Linked DNA regions of Drosophila melanogaster. The protein of the gene in region 3 interacts with the protein of the main gene of each other region in a pairwise test. Each region holds a gene or a part of one and is shown on either strand. Other genes may lie near its edges.

Region 1 (3,762 bases), on a different chromosome or scaffold from region 3:
TAAGTCCTGAGCCGAGATCCGACCATTTCCGATTATTTATACCCTCCATTTTGTCATGTTATCTATTTCTTGTCTATCAAACAATGCCCACATATTTATAGCATCGACTCATCTGCACCCTCGACTCTTTCGGATCGTTATCTATACATGTACTTATTACTCTGCACCACATTTTTCACTCACAATGTGTTCCAGTTATAAAAGTTAAAAAAAAAAAACAAACAAACAAATCAAAATCGAGGAAAACATGACGTGCAACTTGAAGCGTGCAAATCAATTCAACCTATTTTTATCATATTTTTGTTTCATGATGTGTACATTTTAGTCCTTTAATTTATTCCAAAGGTTTGGAAATTTCGCGCGTGACGAAGAGAGAGAGTTATACATAGTACTTCATAGTTATAATTATATAAAACTCTAGTACCTAATTTTATGAAATCATGTTGTATATACTATATGCTGTATATTGTTATACATAAACCTTTAAATAAAAACTGCTACCAAATACAGTGTCCCAGCGTTTAGTATTTATTCCAACGATCATATATCGGATTGACAAAAAATGAGTATAATCGTTGTGAGGTTCTTTGGAGGTGTTCGCTTTTCGAAGTTCCCTATACTTTGGTAACACGTTGCATTAGTCTTTTAACATCATGGTCGTTCTTCTTGGTTTGGCATTAATTATGGTGTGCATGGTCTTGTGGTTCTTAAGGGCAGAGTTTCTGTTGAAGATCTTGGGGCATCGGGGACACTTGTAGGATCGCATTAATTATGGTGCATGGTCTTGTGGTTCTTAAGGGCAGAGTTTCTGTTGAAGATCTTGGGGCATCGGGGACACTTGTAGGATCGCATTAATTATGGTGCATGGTCTTGTGGTTCTTAAGGGCAGAGTTTCTGTTGAAGATCTTGGGGCATCGGGGACACTTGTAGGATCGCATTAATTATGGTGCATGGTCTCGTGGTTCTTAAGGGCTGAGTTTCTGTTGAAGATCTTGGGGCATCGGGGACACTTGTAGGATCGCATTAATTATGGTGCATGGTCTTGTGGTTCTTAAGGGCAGAGTTTCTGTTGAAGATCTTGGGGCATCGGGGACACTTGTAGGATCGCATTAATTATGGTGCATGGTCTTGTGGTTCTTAAGGGCAGAGTTTCTGTTGAAGATCTTGGGGCATCGGGGACACTTGTAGGATCGCATTAATTATGGTGCATGGTCTCGTGGTTCTTAAGGGCAGAGTTTCTGTTGAAGATCTTGGGGCATCGGGAACACTTGTAGGATCGTAATTCAGGTCTCGAACTATGTACGCGCTCATGGCGCCTAAGACCGCGGATTTGTGCGTAGGACTGGGAGCATTGTAAGCATTTGTAAGGTTTTTCACGCGCATGGACCCACATGTGACACTTAAGGTGCGCAGGTAACATGAAATACTTCCCGCAAATGTTACATTTATGTGTCTTCTTCAGCATTTTCTTCTTGGTATCCTTCTGGGCGCTGCTCTGGCTCACATTGCCATTCCCGTTGGAGTTTGAGTTGGGGCACATATTCTCCACGTTGTCCCCCGGTGAATCGATTGTCAAGTCAATTGTCTCCATCTCCTGGCTGCCATCGACTGGCTCAATCAGTTCAACATCGGAGTCATTCGATCCTTCTTCCTCATAATTCATCTCACTGACCACCATCTCATCCTGCTCAATCACCTGCACGCTGTCCATCCCGTAAGCAGTCTGCGCATCCAGCGCACAAGACTGGCAAATGGTCTTGGGAAAAGGATCCTTCGGTAGAACCGGGAAGCCGCACCAATCGGAAATCATGGTCGCTAGGGAAACGCCGGGTAGCGGCATCGTTTCGAAGATGCATAGCATGTTCTCCATCTCCCTCAAACAGACACGGCACATCCTGGAATCCATTGCTTTTAGTTAAATTTAATTTTTTGACATGTATCACGTTGGGATGGGAATGATAGTTTGGAAACACGTGCTAGGAACGACCGTTAGGGACAATAAAAACCGATAGTTTTTGAAGCTTTAGATCATCGATACTGCCGGAACTATCGATAGCTTCTTTTAATGTTTTGCCGGCTCTAGTGCCAATACCAATAAAACGCCGGCCAACGCACCAACGAGAAAACCGTAAGAGGAGGACATGGCCCTGCCCTCGATCTCCACGCTTCTAGGCGTTGCATTTCTGGCGTACATCGGCCACTCCATCTACCAGATGTCGCAGCTCTTCACTACGCTGCAATGCAGCGGTGTGCCGTGCTACACATCATTCCTGGCGGACAGGCCACGCCTGCAACTGGCATTGTTTTCCTCCCTCAGCAGAAGTCCCATTGCCACCGAGGTGCGGGATCTGTACAAGGCCAAGAGGTTCGACTATGATCAAAACTTTGAGCACGACTTCGAAGTGGATGTGCCGCTGAGGACGCGCCGGAATGGCTCCCTGTATCTTCATGTGGTCTTGGCCTTGGAGGGTGAGCCACTGGAATGGCGTAGCCTGCGCAGAGATGGGCCCACCGTTGTCCATACGATGAGTCTCACGGATTACATAGTGCCGCGGGCGGAGGCCTTTAAACTGCTTGGAGATTCCGAGAAAGGTGCAGCAGCCGCTGTCCAGGAGAAAGAAAAGAAGAAAGCCTCCACCACTGGACGTCCCAGCACCCACATCCGATCGAATGTTTACGTCACCCTGCTCAACGATCTCTATTCCGTTTCGCAAGCGGATGTCCCACCTGAAATGGCCCCCTTGATACGTGTCAATCGCAATCAACAGATCTTGCCCATCCTGCAGACTGATACATTTAATACGCGGCTAAAGGATCTAGTGCCCGTCACCCGCAATACCACCGAATTCACATTCAGCTTCCACTACAAGCCCGTGGGCGTGGGCAAGCTCCGTCTAATGCTGCTCATGGAACACGCCACCCAGGCGCTGCTCACCATTGGATTTGCTACCAAGGATATTGACGAGGTGAAAGGCATCTTTTCGGACACCAATGTATACCTTTTGTGTGGCACCATCTTTGTGTCCAGCATCCATGTGAGTAGAGATTGAAAAATTGCAACATACGTCATATGCTCCAGTCCTATAACTAATTTATGTTTCCCTTTTCCCGCAGATGCTCTTCGACTTTTTAAGCTTTAAGAACGACGTGGCCTTTTGGCGCAAAAAGCAGTCGTACGAGGGGCTATCAAGCCGCACCACAATGTGGCGAGCGTTTTCGCAGATCGTGATCTTTTTTTATCTGCTAGATGAGAATACGTCGTATCTGGTACTTGTGCCAGTTGGCCTGGGCACGCTCATTGAGCTGTGGAAGTGCAAGAAAATCTTCCGTCTGGAGCTTAGCTTCAGTGGCCTGGTTCGTCGCAAGCTGGAGCAAGTTGACCGGCGGAATGGTGACCAAGCTGGCGTGAAGTCAGGTCAGCTGGCGGAGGAGCAGAAGACTGATCAGTTTGACAGACAGGGCATGCGATATCTGAGCTATCTGCTGTATCCGCTTTGTATATGCGGAGCGGTCTATTCGCTCCTCTACCAACCACACCGCTCCTGGTACTCATGGACACTTAACTCACTGGTGAACGGAGTTTACGCCTTCGGTTTCCTGTTCATGTTGCCGCAACTGTTTGTAAACTACAAGCTGAAGTCTGTGGCCGCATTGCCGTGGCGCGCATTTATGTATAAAGCATTTAATACCTTCATCGACGACTTCTTCGCCTTCATCATCACCATGCCCACGGCCCATCGGGTGGCCTGCCTGCGCGATGAT
Region 2 (8,029 bases), on a different chromosome or scaffold from region 3:
GGGCATACATATGTACATATATTGTCAAATTTACAATGCATGGATACGTGTGCACACACACAGTTGTCTGCTATCACTGTATGCGTAGAAAAGAGCTGTGCGCTGTAGCGCTCTCCGCTCTCTCGCTCTCGAACAAAAATTCGAGGGGGCCTGGAGCCACGGCGAAAAAACCGTGTGCCAAAAAATCGTAAGACGTTACGCATCCTGTTATTCTAATGTCTTTGGTATGATAATCTTTAACAATTTATTTCAAATTATTACTCCCTTGGACATGGTATGTGACGACAAATTCTCACCATACGAAAAATATGAAAAACTTTGATTTTTAATAACTCGACATATGGCTTTATTTGTACCACATTTCTTCGTACTGTGCCATACCATCCCTATTTTGCCATCCTTACGATACCGCCGTCATTATCTTCATTAATGGGTGGGTAGAGACCGTTAGGTCAATGCAGGACGGCATATAGAAATTGGGTGACGCACTCTTAGACCATAACCAAAACTATCGTATATTCTCAAAAAAAGGGGACTATGACTATAAAAATAGCTATGTATTTAACTCTAAACCTCTATAGATTTTGATAGACCATGACATTGTGTGGAACATGATGTCATTTTCTAGACATTGTGCACGAAGATCATTCCCGAAGTCGACCGAACACTTATTCCGTGCATGTTTCATCAGACCGCCGGCAGCATATTTTAGCGTTAGGCGTGCACTTCCTTGTATAACTGTGTACACCTACAAAAAATTTCAAAATCAATCTATCGGGCACGCTCCGTTAATCGAAGTACTTTACGATTTCGATTTTAAAGATTGGTGCTCCGGTTTTCAAATTCGTAAGGATTTTCGATGTGTATAACGGGCACTTTTGTCTGGCCGAAATGAAAAGTATATGCCCATTTTTATATCACGTTAGATCTTAACCAAGGGAAAAAATAGTTCAGTAGTCTATTGATTTATATTCATTAGTTATTTTATATACAATTTATTTCTGACCCCATCAAAAATTTGATATACAAAATTTTGCTGTCGGCAACAAAAATTTTCGATTTGGCATTTTAAAACGCAAGATCGGTGCTCCGGTTTTCAAATTCGTAAGGATTTTTCGATTTGTAAAACGGACACTTTTGTCTGGCCGAAATGAAAAGTATATGCCCATTTTTATATCACGTAAGATATTATTTACCAAGGGAAAAAATAGTTTACTCAGTGGTCTATTGATTTATATTAATTATTTATATTCATTATTTATTTTATATACAATTTATTTCTGACCCCATTAAAAATTTGACATACAAAATTTTGCCGTCGGCAAAAAAAATTTTCGATTTGGCATGGGGTCATGCGTGCGTCGACTAAACTTACTTATAAAATATAAAAGAATTAATTATCTTAATTTAAAAGATGGCCTATAGTGTTCGTAAGTAATGCTATTTAATTTAATTAATTAAACGGTCAAAATGCAGTAAAAAATTAAATGCGAACATCGGAATTAAAATTGTGAAAAAGGTGTCCGCTGGAAAACAGCTTAAACAGCTGTTTACTGTACAGAAAACACTCCGACAGCAAAAAATTTTACGAAATCAAATCGAATTCGGAAACAAATTACGATTATTCGGTAATGCATGCCTGATTATAATTTCTTGATTTGTTTTATATTAAATTTAAAATTTAATAGTTTAATAATATAAAAATATTCTTATTTATATTATATATTATGAGTATTTCAAATGTAAATAATCATATAAACTATTTTATAAAACATCGACGTTACATAAATAAAATTTATTTTTTGTTTTTCAAGTGTAAATAATAATATTAATCATTTTAGAAAACATTCGGCACCTTTACTCGACGCTCATACGAACGGACAGATATGCTTAGTCTGGTATCGCTTTAGCACCAGTAGGAAAAACCTAGAATTTCTTTTCCCACAAATGTCACAACTTCAAAATTCCATTGTTTCACGGTGTTTCTCTTTTAATGTTTCAATATTAATATATATAATGCCTTAAGGTTCAATAAGAACAAAATATTTTCAATGTCTATATCCCACTCCAATTTAGCGTGATATTCACAAAGCTAATCGCAACATTGTGAGCATTAAAAATTGTTATATATGTATGTAAGCGTCTTGGGATTATATTCTCATGAAACTCAACAGTCATATATATGGCCTTAAAATACGTATATATATATATATATATTAATTTTTCAAAGTGTGTGTTTGCATAAGTGGTGTGTACTATTTGTATATTCATTGTACAATTTCTCCCGTTCATATAGGAGAGTGTTCTGTTTTTAATAATTTTGGATATCTTAACTTTTTCGACTTTCTGTAATAAGTTAGATTACACAGTGAACTATAGTCCTTAGCAATGGATACATCAAAGATTAGTGCCAGGTATGTGGATTAAATATTGGTAAATTTTAGTCAACTTTTTCGATATTATTCTCGCGTACTGTTTTTTTAAACTTGTATATGTACTAACATTGTTTTAACAATCTGTTTCACATTAGGTACTCGAAAGTAGACCTGTTAGCTCTAAGATATGAAGGTAAAAGTCGACAGCGCCCGCAATGTTCAACACGACTTGAATTGCAGACGCTAGGTTTTTGGAAAATTAATCTGAACACAGCTGCGTTAACCGTGTCCAGCGCCTATTCTAATCAAAACAAGAATCGACTTTCTCCAGAAGCAGATAACTCGAGCTTAATTTGTTCCAATAGTAGCTCAATAAGTTCACGTCGCGCTATGAGAAATCGAGAACGGGCAAACAACTATTACCAGCGCTTCGTACCTACCGATTCTCTTCTAATAAGTGGGGAGGATAAAGATAAGGATGCGCTTTCTCATGGACAGCCCTATAAGTTGAATATCATCGATCACCGTAGCATATCATCTTCACATTTAATGCCGGCATTTGCAAAGAGGCGTTTTGTCATATCGAAAGGCAGCAACAGCGAGGAAAGCAACGAGGGGATAAACACTTGTGCAAGCAAGGGCAAGGCAGCCAGTTCGCCTAGCCGTAAGGGTAGCGAGTTGGATACTGCTGAGACATGTTTGAATTTTGTTCAGCCGGATCACGACCAATGCATGTCATCTTCACCTACATTTTCAACATCCCGCCAAGAAAGGCGGATTGGTAGCGGTCGGCTGTTGCCAAGAAGTGATAATTGGGATTACAAAAACGAAAAGACCGTAGAAGCCAGCATTGAGAATGAAAAGGAAACATCTCCAAATGGATCTGGAAGTACAAGCAGTCTTAATCAGCACAATCAAAGCCAACATCGTTCTCGAACATTCAGTGGAAGGTTAGTTGAACGTGTTCCCGAAGTCACAGATCGTCGTTTTCAATATGACTCCAAAAAGTCTTTTGATCGTCAGGGAATTAATAATCGACGCATTTCTGGTAAGGAGCCTTTCAGTACTCAAAGCCGAAGCAAGCGTGGCAATTCCTATCTCATTCACGAAGAACCTGAATGGTTCAGTGCAGGACCTAAATCACAGCTAGAAACTATTGATCTACACGGGTTTGAAGACCTGGAAAAAAACGAAGAGCGATCCGTAACTGAAGATAAAAATAATCAAATTCAACAACTTGATAAAAATTTAGACGCGCAAGCAAGCAAAGATGAAGCTTCGATGAGAAACAGCAATGATAGTTTAAATTTCCGCGAAGTCATTCCAAGTGATGAAAAGAAGCACACTGACGAAAATGTAGTGACTTCTATTCAAAACTCAACAGATCTCGGCCATCCCAATAAAAACAAACCAATTCAGATGCAGCCCAGTCAGAATCCTGAAAGTGAATTTAATTTTGATGCCTTTCTTAATATGCATCCCTTGGATAATTCCGTTTTGGTAAATATATTGCAAAAACTAGATTTTAAGGAATGAGTACCTAATCCATTCAGACATTACATGGACAACTTCCGGGTTACCTTTTATTGACGGATCAATAATAGTATTCAAATAAGCTGTAAATAATGATATTAACTCCCGTTACTCAAGTAAAGGGTAAAGAGTTAAAGGGTATACTAGATTCGTTGAAAAGTATGTAAACTATATATTCTTGATCAGGATCAATAGCCGAGTCGAACTGGCCATGTCCGTCTGTCCGTATGAACGTCGAGATCTCAGGAACTAAAAAAACTAGTATGTTGCAATTTAGCATACAGATTATAGATACGAAGACGCAGCACAAGCAAAGACACTAGAATAACAAGATGCGTAACGGCCATACATTGGTTTTGCACTATGCAGCCAATTTTTTAGTGACGGCCAAAATTGCTCTCTTTCCGCTCGCTCCCGCTGAGAGCATAAGAAATCTAAAAATAGAATTTGCTTGCTTGTGTGAGTAAAAACAAGAGACGAGAACGCATATATGTGTGCGTGTTGTGCTAGAAGACGATTTTCGGACCGAAATCAATTCTGATCAAAGAAACGAATTTACATTGTACATATTAGGGTAGTTTTTGTCAATTTCGTAGCAATATGATAAAATAAAATAATTTTTAACTGACTATTATCATTTTAAAGCTTTTTAAATTTGTTTGTTAAAATCGCCGCTCGAATTAGCTACCGTTTACACATTTATATTTATGTTTAATTCTAATTTGTCTCTCATCTGACAATTTTTTAAAAGCGAAATATTTTTTTTTTTAAACACTTTTAATGTTAATGTTACATCATATTAAGTCAAATGACATAATAAATATAGTAAATAATTAAATATGATAACTGTTTATTGCAAAAGTCATATCAAAGACACTAGAATTATTCTAGTGTCTTTGCTTTGTTCATATCTTGAAGCACGAAGTACGGACACAAGCACTCAACAATCATTGCCTTATTAATTTTTCACACGCCGCAAGATGAATACTCTAATGACAAATATTCTTATATAAAGTCATTTTTGAAATTTATTTTTGTGATAATATGTACATAGATTTGGCTATTTCTAATCTATTTTCATATAATAATAACGTTAAGGCAATGCAAAACAAGAATTTTTCGCATGGTGCCAATTGATCAAAAATAATATAGATTTAAAGTCAAAGAACTTCTAAGGTGAAGGGCATATTTTGTGAAATTTACAATGCATGAGCATGCCTGTGTACACATACAGTTGTCTGCTATCACTTTATGCGTTAAAAACAAACAAACAAACCGCCCAGAACTGCCACGCCAACATTTTTGAAAAATGTTCTGATATTTTTTCATATTTTTATTAGTCTAGTAAATTTCTATGGATTTGCAAAAAAAAAAGTTTGCCCCGGCAACTCTAATACCCTAGAATTTATATTTTAAAGGTAAGCTTATTAATTTTAAGATATATTTATTGTACATTTGCAGAGTAATGATGAAACTGGAAAAAGTGACTCAAAAGGAACATCCCGTTTTAGCCGATGGTTTCGACAAAAAGAAGCTGCAAATAATAATGAGTTTCCAGGGTTTCGGGAATCGCATGCTCAAGAAAAACGTGGTATGTCAAGATTTGTAATAATATATCAAAGGCCTTATAGTTCACTTTGTTCTTAAGGTATTCCAAGTGTTAAGGATCTGGAAGCTCAAATGATAAAAGTGGATATGAGGACTGATTTAATAAATCCAATAGCAGGGTCATTATGTCAGACAGTGCAAATGGAAAAACCTATTGCTAGAGACACTGAGGCATTCAAAAAACTTTTGCAACAGTTGGGTTCTCAAGCCAGGCAGCATCATCCATGCAACGACGATTGTCGTACAATAAACCTCTCAAATATAGCAAATCATGTACACCTTGAGTCAAAATTACATCAAAAAATAAATGATGGTCATTTGCAGCAACCAGAGTTAAGTGTTAACGTGCCAACCATGCCAACTAGTAGTCATGTATTTTTGCAAAAGCGTTTGGAAATCCAACATTTAATTCAAAGTAAGATATGTTTCAAAATTCCATGTCTATAAACTTTTTCTTGAATACTTAAGTCCTTTTTCTTGTCCTTATGGTAAAATAATATAAGGTTTCTGGCTGATAAAACACATGAATGTTACAGTTTACCATATACATGTTTACCATCAGAACGGGAACTTATTTAAAGCGTATCTGGTAAAAACCACGTGTTCTTATTTTAATGCTTTTATACCCTGCGCTGTATTTAAATATTATGAAAAACAAAATGTTTAATAATAAATAGGACTTCATTGTGGAGACGTTTCACATGATTTTTTGGAAAAAGAATTGGATAATCCCAGCACCCCAGCAGCCACAAAGGATGTCATTGCCACAGTGTTGAATGAATATTCTCATTCTAAAAGAAATCCGGTGGTCACAGGCGATCCCAATATTTTTACCCAACAATCGTTTCTTCAGCCTCAATCAGTCCATCAGCACTACTCTCAAGGTAAGTAATTCTTGGTTATATGGTAACTCTTTAAAATTCAATTAATATAATATTTGATTCAGTTAAAGTATCTTATTTATTACTAAAATTATTTGTAAAAATTCCTTAATTTTTTTCTAGAATTGCATTCGCAAAATACTGCTAACCATACGATTAATCAGCTAATTTCCCACGGTAACTCTCCAACTCCGTTGGCATTTACTCCTACTTCAGTTTTAAGAAAAATGACAGCCGATAAGGATACGCAATCACCAAGCACTTATTGTCAGAACCCACAATATCATGTACACCAACAAAATGCCAAGCAAGTCGGTACTCGTGAGAACGTACTTGAGCCACAGCTGACCGCAACAATGGCTGTACAGCCCCGAATGATATTAGGCGGTGGAAACTTTGCCATTGGCCAAAACAATCAACATTTGTCTCCCAACATGTCACAAAGTCGTAATCAACAAGTGTTAAAGTGGACTTCTGGCAATATGCAAATGGTCCACGGAAAAACATTTGGTAAGTTACACAAAAAAGTGTTAGCTATTATTAAAGTACATTTATTAGTTAAAGCTTTGTTTTTTTTTTTTTGCTATAAGTTTTTTTTACTCGTTCTCATAAACTTAATGTAAATGTATATGAATTTCAAGAGAAATTATAAAAATCGTTGAGTTACCATAAAAAGCGTGCAAATACGCAAATACAAAATTCAGTTCTTAAAAGAGGATAGTATAGGATAGGAGAAAGTGGATGCTTTTTATACCCGTTACCCGTAGCGTAAAAGCAAAGACATTAGAATAACAAGATACGTAACGGCCATATATTGGTTTTGCCAAAGACATTAGAATGACGAGTAACGCCATACGTTTTTTAGGATTTTTGTTGACTTTTTCATCAATTTATTAGTCTCTTAATCAAGTAAATTTTCAAAAGTTTTGGTGGCTTTGTGGGCGTGGCAGTTTTGGCCTGTTTGTGGGCCTTAGAGTGTCCGCAGCATCATGACTCTCTCAAGCTTCTCAACTCTCTAGCTTCTATAGCTCCTGAGATCTCGATGGCCAGATCGACTCGGCTATTGATCCTGATCAAGAATATATATACTTTATATGGTCGGAAACGCTTCTTTCTGCCTGTTACATTCTTTAAAACGAATATAGTATATCTCTACGAGAACCGGGTGTAAATATACAACCTGTAGAATAGCTAAATTGGCTTTTTGAGACACGACGTGCGTGCACGTATATACTTACATAATATAGAGAGTATTTTTTAATAGACCAAAAAATAAATATTCATATACACAGTTTGCTTAATTTATATTCTGTGCAAGAAGTGTACCCTACAATTTTGATTATTCTTGACTTATTGGGGTAATGAAAATTACGATTATTTAGTGGAATTTTTTGAAGTGGACTTTGTTTTAATGTAGTTATCTGTGACCCAAAGCAATATTTTATTCTCTAGGAATAAATATCTTTGTTAAACAACGCGATATAATAAACTTGAGATCTTCGACTTCTGTATTAATGGGTTCAAAGACTTACACATTATTATTTTGACTTACATATTTTAGGCCGACCTATTCTGAAAGGAGGTCTTAATTCAATGCCGCATTCCAATTCTGCACTTCCTTTTACTGCCCAT
Region 3 (4,988 bases):
GCACAACCCCAAAAAATATCTACACCCCTTTCCGTGCGTGAGTGTGTGAGAGAGTTTGTGTGTGTGTGTGCGTAGATACACATGTAGAAGTGACAAGCAAGCAACTTTTGCTTTTTTCTCGCGTATTAATATGCAACGCCAAGTTTTGAGTGTCATAAATCATACGCAAAGTGCGTAGACAATTTTTCTCTTGACCAAAAAATGTTTTCCTTACTTTTTGCATAAATTATAATTGTAATTAGAGGCGGAGCACTTGCCTTTTTTTTACGAGCGGTAATTGTTTGCAAATGTTTGTGGACACTTTCTAAAAAAAAAAAAAACATTTTTCATTTTACGCACTTTTTCGTGCGTGGGGAAACTTAAAAGGGCCATTAAGAAATGCGAAGAGATGTGTGAAAAAATGACAAGTTGTGAATTTTTCATAAATATAACATAACAAACTCACCTTAATATTCAATTGCAAATTTACGCATTAATCCAAATCCAGAATCCTCAGTTGTAACACCTTTCACAAGTGGTAATTTTGAATTTATAAGTTTTTCTTTTTAGTTTTTCTCACTTCACTTTTTTTTTCACTTAGGCCAAATGTTCTAGTTCTTTTTGTTGCTAATTAGTTAGGATATATACTCGAGTTGTTTTTATCAAAAATTGTTTACCAAATATTCTCCGATATAATTCGTAAGCATAGATATATGTATAGGTATATATTTTATAAATACATGTATTACGATTGGTAATTTTTTTTTTTACTTTATTCTTTATTTATTTTGTTAAATGATTTTGCTTTGCTTTTATCGAAACGAAATTTTTATGCAAACTAACACACACGTTTTATCTGCTGCTTCTGTTGCGGTTGCTTTTACTGTAGTGATCACTGTAGTAGTTGCTATGGCTGCTGTTGTTGCTGTTGTTGTTGTTGTTGTTGTGTTGCTGTGTTTAGTATTGCGTATGTCCGAACCAATAATTTTGAATAGTTTACCAATTTGGTGGCTTAAATTTTTGCGGTTTTCTGCGTTTGTTCTAAAAAGATTTCCCTCGGCTTTTCAACTGATTTTGGGCTGGTTTTTGCTGACGGTTTTGGTTTTCCTTTTGTTGCGTTAAAAATTTACATTGATTTTATTAGATTGTCATCTTAGTTGCAAATCATTTTCACGTGTGGACGTTTTGAGATAATTACAATTTGTGTATATTTTATGTATGATGTTTTGTTGCCAAAAATCGTTTTTTGTTAATTTATTTTTGTTGTATTTAATTCAAGACCAAAACTTATGTTGCCAATTTTAGAATTTTGCGTTGTTTTTCGAAATGTTTTTGTTTTCAGTTCATTTTTAGGTTGATTTGTTGCAATTTCGCGTTATTTGATTCAATTAAATTGATTTTGAATATTTAGATGGTTAAATGTTCTTGATTCGCATTTTGTAGCATTCGCTGGTTTTGAGGTCGTTGAATGTTTTTCTTGACTTTCCTAAAATTTGCTCGTTGAGACATTTTCACATTGACATTTGGCTGCAAATACAAAAGCGGTTAGAAAATTGTTATTAAAAAGTGTAAGTGGAATTTGGCTGATTGAAACTCAAATCTATTCGGGGATAATGTGACATGTTTTAAGTATTCATTTTCTTTTTAATATTATATTAATTTGTCACAGTTCACCCGAATAAATTTCATTTCATTTGTGCCCAGAATTTCTGGTTTCTTATCAGCCCGATTTCTTGTAAGTGGAATTGGATTAATGATTTTATTATCGCAGAATATATTTCATTTTCCCATTTTGGGACCGTAATTCCCACTTTGCTTCTGGCAAATGTCTTTTATTCTACTCAAAAACACTTTATATGGCATTGGGACTTGGAAATTTTGGGGAAGGGGAAACATTTTTATTTGAGCAGTGAATTGTCTAATTGTTTTAAGAACATTTACTTCAAAACTATTTTTAAGAAGTTTTCACATTTTGTAGTGTATTTCTGTAGTTGTTCAACACTTGTTCACCGTTATTCTACACTTTTCTCTCGCTTTTTTGAACAAGTGTCCTGGGGATTAATTGCATTTTGCCTTCTTTCCTGCACTTCATGCACTTTCCTCTATTCTCCCTTAATTGCTATTTCGTAGCACACACACACACACACACACACATAAACACACAGTGCAAAAAAGGGGTTCAGTTCACTGGTATTGCGCCTTGTTTATTTTCAGGGGGAGGCGGAAAACGGGGAGGGTTGTTTATTGTTCCATGTACTCCTCGCTGTTGTTGTTGTAGTTTGCTTTTGCTTATTTTTCTATTGTTGTTGCTTGATTAAAAATGCAGACGTTTTGGTTATGCATAAAAGTCTATACTTCACTTTTTCTCAGTTTGCTTTTGCTATTCGCTTCATTTTTTATGCTGCGTTTTGTACCGTTTGAAATTCGAGTTGCAAAGTCACACACACACACACATAGGCCAGAATTTCATGTGTGCGAGAAAACCAAGTACACACGCATAATTGTTCATTTTTGATTTTATGTCACTTTATTTGAGCTTTGAAACATACCACATGCACTTCAATATGATCAATATTCACTCAAAATTACCTTTGAATTACTAGGCGAACAGCCGTTTTGCAACACTCACGACGCACTCACGCACTCTTGCCACACACATGCACACTGGACAGTTAGTTTGTGCATTTGCTTTGCTCGACGAAACACAAACAAAACGTAAATAATAATTAAAAGTGTTCAATGCCGCAAACTTTTAGCACTTTTCGCTTTTTGCACTTCATCCGCTGCAGTTCTTTCAGTTCAGAAATGTAGAGAATAACTGTTTTATCAAGCGGTTTCGATTCTGTCCGTGCTTCCTCGTTTCTTAATTTACGTGTAAAACTTGAGTTGCCTGCAGTTGCCAGGGCTGACGAGCGACGAGGCGATGCGAATTTGCGACTGCGAATGCGAATGCACAAACGCTGCTGCTGCTGCGAGCACCACCGAAACAAGCAACCGCGAAACTTCAACACGTCCGTTCAACACGGCAGTTTCTTTTTGACTGCCGATTCGATTTCGATTCCAACAGGCGGCGAACGAACAAGCGTGCAGTGGTGTGCTCCGTAGAGAGAGAGAGAAAGAGAGCGCGAGCGAGCGAGCGAGCTTTTAATCCAATTGGAATGCAGGCGAGCAACTTGCAATTGTCAGATTGGACATCTCCAACAAGGATTCTTAAAAAGGATAACCGAAAATAGTCTAAAGTATAACAGAAAATAGTTTACATATTTTTTTTTAATGATTTTTAGAACACAATTTACTCAGGCGAGTAGAAGTAATGGTCGTTGCAACTGCTTTTTGCATGTCTTTTTCTGTGTGTATGCACTGCCGCCCCAGGATAAAAATTACATATATCCTCATAATCCGGGGGTGAGTCTCTCACTCTTTCTCTCACTCTCTCTTTTGCAGGCGCAATTGCATAAGGCAAAGGACATGAGGTAATTTATAGGAGCTCCGCTCAAGTGGAAAATGTTTAGGGAAATCTCGTCCCGAAATAGCAAAAGCAAACCTTAACTTGGTCTTAACCTATTCGAACAGCGGGGGATTCCATCCAGGTGGTCTCTGAATATTAGATGCAATAGAAATAGGGTTCGCAAGAGGCGATTTATATGGAAAACCACTTTAAGATCGGCACAATGAGTTAAGATGGGAATATGGGAAAAATGTTAATTGCATAGCTTTAATGCAAAAGAACGCATTACGTTTCTTTAAAATCTTGATCACTCTCAGAAAACAAAAGTAAAGGATAAAATTTTTTTAGTGGAATTCTTTGGAATTCTTTAGAAAATTCTTACAATTGGTCTTTGATTTCTAGGAAGAAAACAATAATAACCTAACTACTCAGTTCTCGCATAATTTGCATATCCCTTGAGAACTTTCCGATCAAACCATCAAAATTGGAACAAAAACCCTCAAAATGCTTTTCATTTCTCAGCCCAAAAACTTCCCCTATTCACACAAGTGTCAGGAGTCCCTTTTTTGAATGCAATTCCCATCAAAAATATCAAATTCCTAGCCAATCAAACAATAACCACTTAATTTTAGTGGAAAAAGAGTTGATAAAGTTGAATCAAACAATTACCTTATTTCTATTCATTGACAGTTCGTTAGCAACAGTATTTTTTTTTCAGTGCAGCCTTGCCAAAAACAATAACAATGCGCATTCGTTTTGCAGTGAGCGAAAGAGAGGAGAGAGCGGTAAGCTTTTTTTTGGCGCATGTTTTCCCATTCTCTCTCTCTCTCTCTCTCTCTGCTGCCATTTTATGCACACACAATGACAATGAAAGCTTGTCGGTAAAGGGGCGGGGTGTGGTAAGGGAAAACGAACAATTTACGCGATTCAAGAAACACGTGGAGTGCCGGCGTCGAAAATCCAATAAGCAAAGGCAAAAGCTCCTGCTTTTGCTGCTGCTTTTGCTTCCCCAGTCGGAAGTGGAATTATTCCGGAACGCGTTCCTTAATAATTCTTTTTCGATGCATTTTAAATTAATTTCATATATTTTTATTTTATAAAAATACCACTAGATCAAACCCTTTCCATAACGAAAAATGCAGTGCATTTTTCGGTCGAGCGCCAATAAACCTCACTCCACCTCCTAAATCCACCCCTGTGCTTCTCTTTTTGGCTCTCCATTTGCTTTTGCAGTACTGCACGCACTTTTTGGACCTACGTCTTCCCCTGCTCTTCGTCACTCAACTTTTTGCTTAGCTACACAACTTTTGTTAGCGCACTGAAAAAAAAAAACGTGGAAAAGGAAAAAGTAATAAATTAAATAATACTAGAAGTACAAGCAATATAATATTATTATATTATATAGTAATAATAATGTAACAATATATATAATTATATACAATGGATAGATTCTAAACGAGAAACCAATCATACGATTCATGTGCATTCAGAATTCATCTGAACTTTAGAAAATAGGCGCATCAAAATATTACTTTTATTGATATTTCGTTTCTTTTATTTT
Region 4 (3,188 bases), on a different chromosome or scaffold from region 3:
CTCTTCCTCTTTTTGCCGCAGAGGCCCCCTTGCTGCCCCGCCCATCGACGGTGTAAATTTCAAGCCAAGTGTAACACCTTTTTCCTGTCATGATGATTTTAGAGGGTTTGGGTGGCGCTTGTGTCTCTTATTGTGTGTTTTTTTTTTCGCAATTTTCGTTTTTTGCCATTTGTTTTTTCGCTCAAATTTACATACATCATAGTCATTGCAGTTCAGGGCATTTTGATGGAAACAGTTAACTTTTTAAGCCGCAAATTGAAAGAAAATAAAATGTTAAAAAAACATCGCTTGTGCTCTTTGTGTTTCTCTGATTTTGTTGGTGGCGACTTTCAATTTTGCCCGCGACCAACAGAAGGCGGCATCCCCTGATTTTATTTGCGATTTTTTTTGCCCTTTTGTTTTCAGTGTTTGTTTAGTGAGATTGATTCGATTTGGGCAGCGCACGAACATTGAATCGCGACAGTAAATCTATGTTCACTCTCTAACTTTCAGATGTTATTGAAAAATTTTTATTCAACAACCATTGGAAAGGAACTAAGTTAATGTATTTTTTATTCGGCAATTTCCCTGTTAAATCATTTAATTCGAATAACGCTCAATCAAGTGCATCAGTTCAGTCCGGGCCTTAAAGACGTCCGCATACAGCTCTCCATTGACACCACCATCGGAGCAGTGTTGCCCGTAAATGTCCACTCCGCACAACCGATCCTGGTGGAGGAGGACATCCCCCTTTGCCGTCTGGCAGTCCACCAATCGGTTTGAATTAAGGGCGCACAACATGGTCTGCGTGATGAAGGCGTTCTCATCCTGGGCATAGCTCCTTTTGCAATTGCTATTGGGAATGAGTTTGGTGCGCAGGAAACGCAGATGTTGCTGTGACATGTACATGGTTACATTGTCATTCCTTCGGAGAGGTGACTCGCAGAGATCAATCGGATGGACGAAGGGATCCTCCAGTGGAGCGTGGAGCAGTAATAGGGCCATGTCCTCAATAGCGCCGGTAATTAGATTGGCCACCGAATATATCCGACTCCGACTAGCCTGCAGTTTGTACGAACGAGGTGGAGGTTGACGCAGAGTCCTGGGAAAACAGAGGGCGGAGGTTAAAACCAGACGAGTGGAGATTAGAGCACCACTGCAAATGACTTTGTTTTCATAAAGGATTCGCATAACGAAATGCTTCACTGCCTTTGGTGCCTCTGTTGTGGCTTGTCCATCGGTAAGGAGAGTCTCGATTTCAGCGGGAATTATCTCTAGGCTGTTGGGTTCTTTGTTGCCTCCGCTTGAGAATCTAGCGGAAATTTTCGGTGATCTCTGGTAGGGATAGGGCACTATATACTCAATAACACGAACTATCTGATAGGGCTGTCCATTGCTGGGTATTTCACCCACATTAAACTGCGGAGCGGTCTCAGAAGATCCGTAAACTGATCCTCGGGAGACTGCTAATATTATGACTAGCTGACTAAGCTGCATTATGACATTTCAACCGATTCAGTCTCAAATCACAACAATTAGGTTTCTTTCCCCGTAACTGATTTAAATTCTTCACTTAAACCATTAAGTTTCCGGATCAAATCGCCGATCATGGGCTGCAGTTTGCCTAGACTTATGTAGAGATCACCATTGAGTGCATTTTGAAAACAGCGAAATCCATAAACGTTTAAGCCACATAATTGATGGTCTATAAGTAGGACATCACCTGGAGAAGTTGCACACATTTCCGGATTCATTGAGTTCTTTGCACACAGCATACTGGGAGTTATAAAAACTGAATCCTCTTCCAGGAATGTTGTCTTGCAGGCACGATTTGAGATTATTTCAGTTCTTCGACGGCCGTAATATCTGAGATCCGAAGTGGCCATCATCATTGATACTCTTGTGCCCAATGGTACGTCATATTGGCATAGGGCAATTGGATTGATTTCAGACGGCCTCTTCAAGTGAAGAATGCTAAGCTCAGGACAGAAATCCGCTTTGACTACATTATCCACAGCGATAGTTCTTCCGCCGGTGAAGATAATTTGCAGCGGTTTGAAAGAGTCGTTTGAAAAGCACTTACTGGAGGTGATGGCCAAACTGGGAGCCACCAAGGCCGCACTGCATCGTACCGCATTTCCCACCTTTATCTTCGCAATAAAGCTGAATTGCAAGTGGCTCATCCCGATCTCATTTTGATATTCCAGTTCCTGCCTTCTGATTGGCTTGTATTTGTTGATGATTCTAACTATTTGACGGTTTTCTGACAACTGATGGTTGCCTCTTCCGCCACTAGGATATATCACATTCACACGACAATCCTTGCAGAGTTGAGCTCCAATCGCCGCTTCGCAAAGCTGACAAAACCAAAGCGCTGAAACACAAACAAGCAGCGAATGCATCTCCAATCGACTGATAACCAGCAGATGACTTTTATTTATGGGCGAATGGAATTCGAGGCGCCTGTCAAAGCAACAAACGTCGCTTCGATCCACATGGCGTATGCGTAATCAAAATGTTTTGCCTGCTAAATGGCAAACATAAACAGTTGACGGCTGTCAGTTGTTGGCAGTTGTTGCGTGTTGACAACGTGTCAGGTCTAATGACCAAACAAAGGTAGGGCACACAAACATTTGAAGTGCAACTCGATATCCTTTTGGCTCTCCGGCTGGGGGTTTAAGAATGATAAGTAATATTACCTCATCGTTTAGCTTTAAAAATGTTTTTAAATCAAATCAAGTGACTATATTTTAGAGATTATCTAAAGGATATTTTAAAATGTGTTAGGTAAATGAAATGAAAGAATAAAAATATTGTAGAAATTAAGGATAATAGCAAACTATCAACCATTGAATTCGAATTCGCGATGTGGGCGTCTTTCGTGGAAATCGAAAATTGTTTTTGTGCATTTCAGCAAATTAAGAAAAATGGCAGCAGCTTCGGCTGGACCTCTGCTCATTTACTGAATTTATGGGCGGCGCTTAAACTGAATTGACAATCAATAGTCCCTCGAAGGACGAGGCTGGAGGACACGCAGGATAGCAGAGCTCATAAACAATGCGGCCAATTTACATGCCCAGGGATCGACCGCATGTGTGTGTCTATCCCAGTGTGTTCCACCATGAAAAGGACCTTGTGTTGCTTTTATTGTTATCGTTGGAAATGAAAAATTGTCCCTTTGTTGCATATAAAAACAATGGGCCAAAGAA

What was found.
Region 1: the proteins of chinmo (region 3) and CG4318 interact in a two-hybrid assay, tested with the Drosophila melanogaster proteins (one large-scale study listed by BioGRID).
Region 2: the proteins of chinmo (region 3) and 4E-T interact in a two-hybrid assay, tested with the Drosophila melanogaster proteins (one large-scale study listed by BioGRID).
Region 4: the proteins of chinmo (region 3) and intr interact in a two-hybrid assay, tested with the Drosophila melanogaster proteins (one large-scale study listed by BioGRID).

Annotation. Positions count from the first base shown.
Region 1 is NC_004354.4:13,152,955-13,156,716, forward strand, and holds CG4318 (uncharacterized protein), read right to left. Parts: upstream 1,971-3,762; 5' UTR 1,907-1,970; coding exon 1,196-1,906; 3' UTR 507-1,195; downstream 1-506. Other genes in the region: CG32645 (uncharacterized protein), read left to right, coding at 1-3; CG4332 (uncharacterized protein), read left to right, coding at 2,142-3,035, 3,115-3,762.
Region 2 is NC_004353.4:952,391-960,419, reverse strand, and holds the start of 4E-T (eIF4E-Transporter), read left to right. Parts: upstream 1-2,027; 5' UTR 2,028-2,388; coding exon 2,389-2,414; intron 2,415-2,530; coding exon 2,531-3,875; intron 3,876-5,369; coding exon 5,370-5,499; intron 5,500-5,556; coding exon 5,557-5,931; intron 5,932-6,193; coding exon 6,194-6,400; intron 6,401-6,520; coding exon 6,521-6,907; intron 6,908-7,958; coding exon 7,959-8,029. UniProt on the Drosophila melanogaster protein: eIF4E1-binding protein that regulates translation and stability of mRNAs in processing bodies (P-bodies). Probably plays a role in P-bodies to coordinate the storage of translationally inactive mRNAs in the cytoplasm and prevent their degradation.
Region 3 is NT_033779.5:1,649,293-1,654,280, reverse strand, and holds the start of chinmo (chronologically inappropriate morphogenesis), read right to left. Parts: upstream 3,024-4,988; 5' UTR 2,569-3,023; intron 1,507-2,568; 5' UTR 446-1,506; intron 1-445. UniProt on the Drosophila melanogaster protein: Required for morphological differentiation of postmitotic neurons during postembryonic brain development. Ensures production of appropriate neuron subtypes within a lineage by preventing precocious generation of late neuronal types of that lineage.
Region 4 is NT_033777.3:28,788,810-28,791,997, reverse strand, and holds intr (intrepid), read right to left. Parts: upstream 1,477-3,188; coding exon 580-1,476; 3' UTR 537-579; downstream 1-536. Other genes in the region: CG34295 (uncharacterized protein), read right to left, coding at 1,515-2,381.